Oryza sativa Japonica Group: one gene and its partner. The main gene of each other region encodes a partner of the protein of the gene in region 2 in a complex. Links are inferred from orthologs where the notes say so. Each region holds a gene or a part of one and is shown on either strand. Other genes may lie near its edges.

Region 1 (3,672 bases), on a different chromosome or scaffold from region 2:
TCGCGGCGTGCGTGTTCGAGAGGTTCAGCTTCAGGTTCGTCGGCGGCGAGGGACGGCCAGGGCTTGTGTTCTCGGTGACCTTGAGGATGGAAGGCGGCTTGCCGATGCGAGTGAAGAAGAGGAGGGATTCAGTTTGTTAGAATGTAAATGTTCTCTTTGCTACTTGTTGCCTTTCATTTATTCCAGGTTGAGTTCTGGATATTATCCATTTTTTCGCCTGATAGTAGCAAAATTATAAGGTGACAGAGGATTGGATGGGCAATCAGGTTGTTTTACAAATAAGTGTGTACCAAAGAGATTGGCACAGAGGAGGTGGATAAATTGTGTTACACAGTGGAGCATGGAGTGACTATGATGAGATGATCTGAATATTAAAATTCACTGGACTGTATCAGAAAATAAAAGGGACGTTCTACTACAGAATAGAAAAATTGATGAGTTTATTTGAGCAACTGCTCAAGTTAGCATTTAGGCCCTTTGGCAAAATCTATGCTCAGAATGCAGTCAAGATAGATCAGAGGAAAACCATGGCAATGCAGATCAAGGAGAACATATTCCCACAGCAAACAACTACTAAATACTGCACAAGCAAAAAGGCTAACTTGAATTTGTGTTGATAATGTACTTCACACATTAACCGGACACCGGGTGAAGGATTTGCACCAATTGTTATGGTTGAGTATAACCGAGAACGTGGGATAAAAAAATACACTTACAATTGTGACAAAGAGCGACTTAGAATGCGATTCAATCAGAACATTCGTTTCTTCCCAGTGGGGGAGTTCGTCTTTGTGCAGAGAACCCTTCTTCCTTTGGCGCGTCTGCGCTTCAGGACCTTTCTTCCGGCAGTAGTCCTCATCCGTCTGCGAAAACCATGTGTACGGGCAAGCGACTTCCTAGATCTATTTCTCTTGGTCATGCACAGAGCAGCCTTTCCAGCCCTAATCTGCAGAATCCGGGATCTTCCTGTTGTAACTCTGTTGTAGCTGAATTCAATTCCCAAAGATGAACCTGAAATATGTAACATATTAGGATACTGAAATCATTTGTAGGTTGGAACAAATATGGTTTGATACATAAGAACATGGATTTGCTAAATACAACAGTACAGCACAGAAACCGGCTATTTGATTGCCCTTAGTTTGTGTTTTTGTTCTCTAAGATCATTTGGAAAAAAACTCTAGTATGTAAAGTACAGTTCATTTTCCAAAAGGATAATATCATTGCAATAGTTCCTTTAATCTAACGTTATTGGCTTGTTTTAGGAGCATTTTGGTTTTGCTTTAGGTGGCAAGGCTATTAATTGTAACTGAACTGTTTAAAAAGTTGAGTTGTCCAGTTAAACGTTCTTGATTCAGTGATTTCGTTAGTTCGTAGTATAATTATGTTAGATGATATATTTCATAATGAGTTTACTAAATTAAGCTCATGCGCTCGCTCCAAAAAGTGGAGTTTCCTGAGTTTTTGTGATGTTTTCATGATTCTGTCGCAAGAATGTACTACAATCTACAGTCCATCTGGCACTACTGGAAATCACAATATCAGTATCACAGTACATGGAGGAAGAAAAGAAACTTTCAGCCGTGTAGGTTTCCTAACATGGAACCATCTAGAACTAATCACTGAATTATGAATATATATACACGTTCTTACACTAAAAAACTGGATGTGTAAACAAGTGATTTTTTTTAATCTTAATCGGAATCCACATCTTAAGCAAAATTCTCTAGCACATGGTTAACTATAAGAATGCGTGGGCTTTAGGATCAGACATTGCAGATTATAACAAGCTGCGTACAGCAGCTAACAAGTACGGCAGAGTTTGAATTTAAGATTTCTCAGGAAATTGCCAGAATACCATCAGAACTTTCAAATATATCAATTGCATTAAAATCGCTAGTTTAGTTTAGTTATCTTCTGACATTAAGCACTGATTAACTGTACACGCTACCTATCTGACAGTATAAACACTCCATTGTACAGTACTTAAAGCCGAAACCAGCAGCACAAAAGTTCATTCCTCCCTTTCTCTTTGCAGGCAACTCTCTCCTCCATCTAGTTCCCCAACCCAAATGGTAGCAACAGAACGAAGCGAATCAGGAACGAGTAAAGTACACATTCTCACCAGCAAATGAGGAGGCAGAGGTGAAGGTCAGCGACGCCGAGACCGCGGCAGAGAGCGCGGCGGGGGAGGCGGAGGCGGATGACGTGGAGGAGGAGGAGACGAAGGAGCTCCGGAGGAACGGGGTGGCGGCGGCGCCCATCGGGGATGCCCTGCGAGAGCGGAGGCCGCCGCCGATAGCCGCCGCTGAGATCCTCCCGGAGTGGAGTGAGAGAGCCGCCATTGGCGAGACGAGGGCGAGCGCCATGTTTGGGGAGTCGAGGTGCGGTGCAGGGCTATGGCTATCCCCACACAATGTTGCTTTATCGTCTTATCCACGACGAGATGCGATTCTTGGGCCAAATCATGGGCCTTCGTCTTAGGCCCACTCATGTTAGGCCCATTAAGAGGAACAGTTCGTCGTCTTCCTAGAAACAAGTTCACCACCGTCCGCCGCCTGCAGACGGGGCTTTATTACACAATCAGCCACCAGATCTCATCGCCGTCGGCCGTCGCCGTCGCCGGATGGACCCGAGCCGGCCGTTGCTGGGGCGGGGCGCCCTCATCACCTCCTCCGCCCACGCCGCCGCCGCCCTCTTGCTCGTCGCCTTCCTCTTCCTCACCCTCCGCAACCTCCCCATCTCCCTCTCCCCTCCCACCGCCGCCTTGACGCCCACCACGTCCCACCTGGAGCAGCAGGATCAGGCCAGCTGCGACACCACCTCCACGCTCGACTGCGCCGACCCGCAGCTCTTCCACCTCATGATGCGCCGCGCCATCGACGCCTTCCCCGACGTCCACTTCAACCGCTTCGGCCGCCCCGTCCCCGGCGACCCGCCGTCGTCCTCCTGCGACATGGCCTGGCGCGCCCGATCCACCGCCTCCGCCAACTACAAGGACTACCGCCGCTTCTCCGTCGCCCGCGACCCCGTCACCTGCGCCTACTCCGTTACCTCCATCGGGGAATACCACTCCGGCCCCCTCGCCCGCAAGCCCCGCCGCGGCGGGACCAACGCCACCGCCCCGCCGCCCCCACCCGCGCTCTCGCGCTCCCAGTTCGCCGCGGGCAAGTACCTCTCTTACCTTGGCGGCGGCGACCGGTGCAAGCCCATGCCGCATTATCTTCGTAGTCTCCTCTGCTCCATCGCCGAGGCCCGCTACCTCAACCGCACCCTCGTCCTCGATCTCAGCGTCTGTCTCGCCGCCGCCTACGCCGGGGGCATGCCCGAGGAGGGCAAGCGCCTCGCCTTCTATATTGACATTGAGCACCTGCAATCCGTGGTCGGGATCGTTGAACACAAGCGGTTCTGGGAGGATTGGGACAAGTGGGGAGCACAGGGTCAGCTTGGAGTCCGCATCATCGAGGACAGCAGGGTTGCGCCCACCAAGTTCTCCAAGTCGAGGGATCCCCTGATCGTTAGGAAATTTGGGGACGTGGAGCCAGGGAATTATTGGTACAATGTGTGCGAGGGCGAAGCTGAGCATGTCCTCCGTCCACCGCAGGGAGCAATACGCACGGCGCCAAGCTTGATGGACATTGTTGATGGTATCATATCAAGGATGCAAGTAGA
Region 2 (4,230 bases):
CAGAGGTTGCGCGTGTGTGGAGCTGCCGGGTTGCTCCACGTCTACAACTCAACACCTTTTTCTCGTCTCTACATTTTTAGAGAGAAAAAAAACAACCTTCTAATTTTGTAGGGGTTCATTATTCATTTAGGCTCTTATTAAATATCAATAGCTAAAAAGGGGAATAAAACAATCCATCAATTTCAGCTATCTCAAACCAGACAGGCCATAGCAGTAGAACAATCAATATTGGCGTAGGAGTTCCTTTTGTACAAAACAAACAGCTTTTCAATTTTGTACAAGTTAATTCTTTCATTTAGGCTCTTATTAAATATCAATAGCCAAAAAGGAAATAAAATAATTAATCAATTTCAGCTTAGACTGGAAGACACTCTAAAGTGAAAAGCGCAAGATGCCAACTGCACGACCTGATGCTGCTCAAGTTACATCCATCCATCTTATAATTCGTAACCAACATACAGTATTAATTAGGAACTCGACCGAAATGAAACACTAGTAGCAAACAATTCGAGCCGGACTTGCAGCAGCAACACGGGATAAAAGGAAATTTAAGGAAACGAAGCCGGCCACCACCACCGATGAATGCATACTGTAGTACTCTACAATAAATTGCATCATCGAGATGAATGGATTTAATAATGGACTACATACAGCTCTGGTCTATTCAGCACAGCGGCAATTGATGAGAGAATACATGTATGTATGCATCATGATGATGATGATTTGATTTATTTCTTGTTGAGGTCGATGCCGGCCTTTTTGGCGACGGCGTCGAGGCCATGCTTCTCGATGGTCTTGAGGGCTTTGGTGGAGAGACGCAGCTTGACGAAGCGCTTGCCTTCCTCCCACCACAGCTTCTTGTACTGCAGGTTCACAAACTGCTGCTTCTTCGTCTTGTGGTTTGAGAAGGACACCTTGTTCGCCCTGTTGGTCTTCTTGTCCGTGAAGGGGCATATCCGGCCTGAGTCACCCACCCCCACATCATACAACAACATCACCATACACGCCATCTTGTTCCTACTACTACTAGTTTCTATAATTTGTGGCATCATGCAAACAAAAGATAAAGTATAATCTCACCCTTTTAAATTACTTGTCCTTAACTTTATCATAAGCCAAACATTTAATATCATAATATTTATGTGTTTATATATGCATCATGAAAAGTACCTTCATAATATATAGTACAATTAACATGTTGTTAAACTTTACAAATTTCTAGAAATTGATAAGTCACAATTATCTTTTTAAATAAGAAATTGATAGTTAAAGTTATGAATGGTTGACTTAGAATAAAACTAAAACTATAACTTGAAATGGCCAGAATAGTTATATTTTTTCTTTTCCCCCTTCTTTCTTATATACACTAGTAAGAAGAAGAAGCTCTGCTTATGTCTTAGAGAAACAAAGAGATGGTTGTCAGACATAAACAAGCAACCATTTCAAATATATTCTAAACAACCCTGTTAAATTTCACTTGGCGCAAGGATATTATTGGCCTTAAGTTAGTGGCGTGGAATCATCTCTTTCCACGCATTGCTAATATAGTGTTGTCACACGAGAAAGATGACTTTAAATTGAATCTAACACCTGATGGAAGATTCTTGGTTAAAACTCATTATCTTGCACATACAAGAGTTCCCAATTTTAACAAACATATCTAGAAGTTAAAAATCCCTCTCAAAGTGAAAATGTTTCTATCGTATTTATGTCGAGGGGTGGTGTTAACAAAAGATAACCTGGCTAAACGGAATTGAAAAGGGAATAAGACCTATTGTTTTTACCACAAGGAAGAAACGATAAAGCATTTATTTTTTGAATGTCGGCTAGCCCGATCAGTTTGGTCTTTAATCCAGATTGCATCGAACATTTCTTCACCTAGGAGTGTGTCACATATGTCTGGACAATGGAGTTTGCGACAAAACAAAGAGTCTAGGCCTCCTTTTCTACTAGGAGTTGACTTGTTGGGCTATTTGGCTATAAAGGAATGATGTGATTTTTGACAGGAAAATTGTTTCTTCTTCTTTGCAGGTTATTTTCTTGATCACACATTGGCTCCGATCATGGATTATTCTCAAGAAGCCAGATTACAGGGGTTTTGTCTGTTCGGCTTGTCTTCATTTGGAGCATGTGGTCAAGGTTTTTTTTTTTTACCCAGGCACATGAGCGGCAACCTAGTCTTCCGATATTAGGTCCTTAATCGTTGAGTTAGTTCTGTTTTTCTTGTTGTGTGGTATCTATTGGTTGTGCACTGACATGGTGCAAAGAACGACCAAATTCAATAAAGCTTCCATTCTCTTAAAAATACAAAGAAAGATCTGAGTTTATGGTAATAGATTGACAGCTAGTCTATTTTCGAGAGATTAAAGCAATCAATTACTAACAAATAGGTCATCTGGTTCTAGTAGTAGTATATATACAGTGGAGTATTGGATAGCGCAAAAAAAAAACGAAGGATAAAGTAACAACTTTAATAGTAGCAGAAATGACATTGGTGGTGTAATATAAAACTGTAATGTCAATCTGCGGGTGGATGGCTCGAAACAGAGAGAAGAAGGAGGAGGCAGATGACGTACGCGCGAGGATGGGGTGGAGCTTGGGACCGGCGGCGGAGGGCGCGGTGGTGGCTGCGGCGGAGAGGCCGAGGCTGAGGCCGGCGAGTTGCGAGGTGGCGAAGCCGAGAGAGGAAGAGGAGGAGGAAGTGCGAAGGAGCGGAGCCCTGGTGGCGGGCGTGAAGGAGCAGAGCATGGTCGCCATCGCCACTGGAGCCTGGAGGAAGAAGAAGAAGAAGAAGAGGATCAAGTCTTGTGCGGCTGCGGCGTGGCGTACAACTTGTTTCTCCTATCCTATCATAATCGTCTCTCTATGTACTGTGTGAGCAGGGGCCCATATATCGTAGTACTGTAGAAAAGGGCGGCCCAAGCCCAACTCTCATTACTACTAGTATTACTCACAGTGATAAGTCCACTTATTATCCCTTATTTTACGTCGAGTTTAATGGTATCTCTAAACCGCAATACCAGCAATCTTCACCCCCTCCCCCCCATTTTGGAAAAACCTTCCAAGTCAGTCTCATGGTATTATGGATGACTGGTTTCACTAACGTGGCATACCAATCAGAAAATTAAAATTTAAAGTGGACTTCCTCCCAACCTGTCCCCTCTCTTCCCCATCTCTCCACCTCCCCCCTCTCTTTCCCATCTCCTCCAGTGGGGAGAGGGGCGGCGGCCAGCGAGCCCATCCACGGGAGGTGGTAATGGTGGTGGGAGGTCAGTGATGAGGTGGCTCCAGTGGTCCACGACGGGGGAGAAGAGGAGGTAGGTGAGGGAGCCGGCGAGTTCGAGCTCATGAGCTATCTGCAGGAAAGCCCAGTCGTGTCAGGAGTGTGAGGAGCCGCGGGGATGGGAAGGGGGTGCTGCGGTGGTGGCGGCAAAACTTGAGCTCAAGCGGTAGTGATGAAGATGAGTACGCATGCGGAGGGTGACGTTGTTGATGGAGGTGTTGGGGAAGAAGCAAGTGAACTAGAGGGACAATGTCGTGTCGCACACCACCAACTCCCACACATTCTCGCGAGCATCCAAGATGGGGACAGTAGCAAAAGTCTGGCTCCCACTTCCAGATCCCCTTCGCATCAACCTCCATTCCAGATAGCACACTTCTACCCACTGGTCCACCTCCTCCTCTTCCTCATACTCCTCCACATCGCTCTTGGGCTCCTCCTCGTTGATGGCTTTTGAAGTGGAGACAGTGGAGCTCTCGGAGGAGACAGACCGGCATGCTCGCGACGACATCGCAACACCGGGTCGAGGTCGAGCCGGCCCCTACTTCTCTTTTCCGTCTTCAAGAACAGCCTCCTTGACTTCCGCCCACCCATCCCTCGCCGAAGGAGCTATCAAAGAGGTCACCCGAGAAGATGTGGAGTTGATTCTCTCCTCCTTGATGGCCAGGAAGACAGGAAGAGGACCCTCTCGCAGGCGGTGTGGAGGATTGTTGTCTGTCCTACCAGTGTTGGTGTGTGGTGGACCGACAAGGCTCCTCTAACTTAAGTCAAAGGGACATGCATCTCTAACATGTGGGCCTATAAAGGTGGGCCGCACCTGTCAAGGACTCATATCCTTCTAACTTTAAGTCAGAGGAGCTCCTTTCGTGGTGGACGAATGAACTCGTCGGCGTGTGAGAACAGAGAACTGACACTAAATGATGGAAGTGATATGGATTGAAGAAATTTGC

What was found. Proteins that work in one complex are often made in the same cells at the same time.
Region 1: large ribosomal subunit protein bL28c (region 2) and large ribosomal subunit protein bL34c share a complex: the UniProt entries of both Arabidopsis thaliana proteins name them as parts of the 50S ribosomal subunit. The link is inferred for Oryza sativa Japonica Group from reciprocal best matches to the Arabidopsis thaliana genes PRPL28 and AT1G29070.

What each region holds. Positions count from the first base shown.
Region 1 is NC_089035.1:34,740,110-34,743,781, forward strand, and holds large ribosomal subunit protein bL34c, read right to left. Parts: upstream 2,394-3,672; 5' UTR 2,370-2,393; coding exon 2,126-2,369; intron 1,013-2,125; exon of another isoform or gene 1,012-1,012; coding exon 752-1,011; 3' UTR 579-751; downstream 1-578. Other genes in the region: uncharacterized protein, read left to right, coding at 2,627-3,672. UniProt on the Arabidopsis thaliana protein: This protein binds directly to 23S ribosomal RNA.
Region 2 is NC_089039.1:104,682-108,911, forward strand, and holds large ribosomal subunit protein bL28c, read right to left. Parts: upstream 2,801-4,230; 5' UTR 2,758-2,800; coding exon 2,577-2,757; intron 962-2,576; coding exon 729-961; 3' UTR 412-728; downstream 1-411.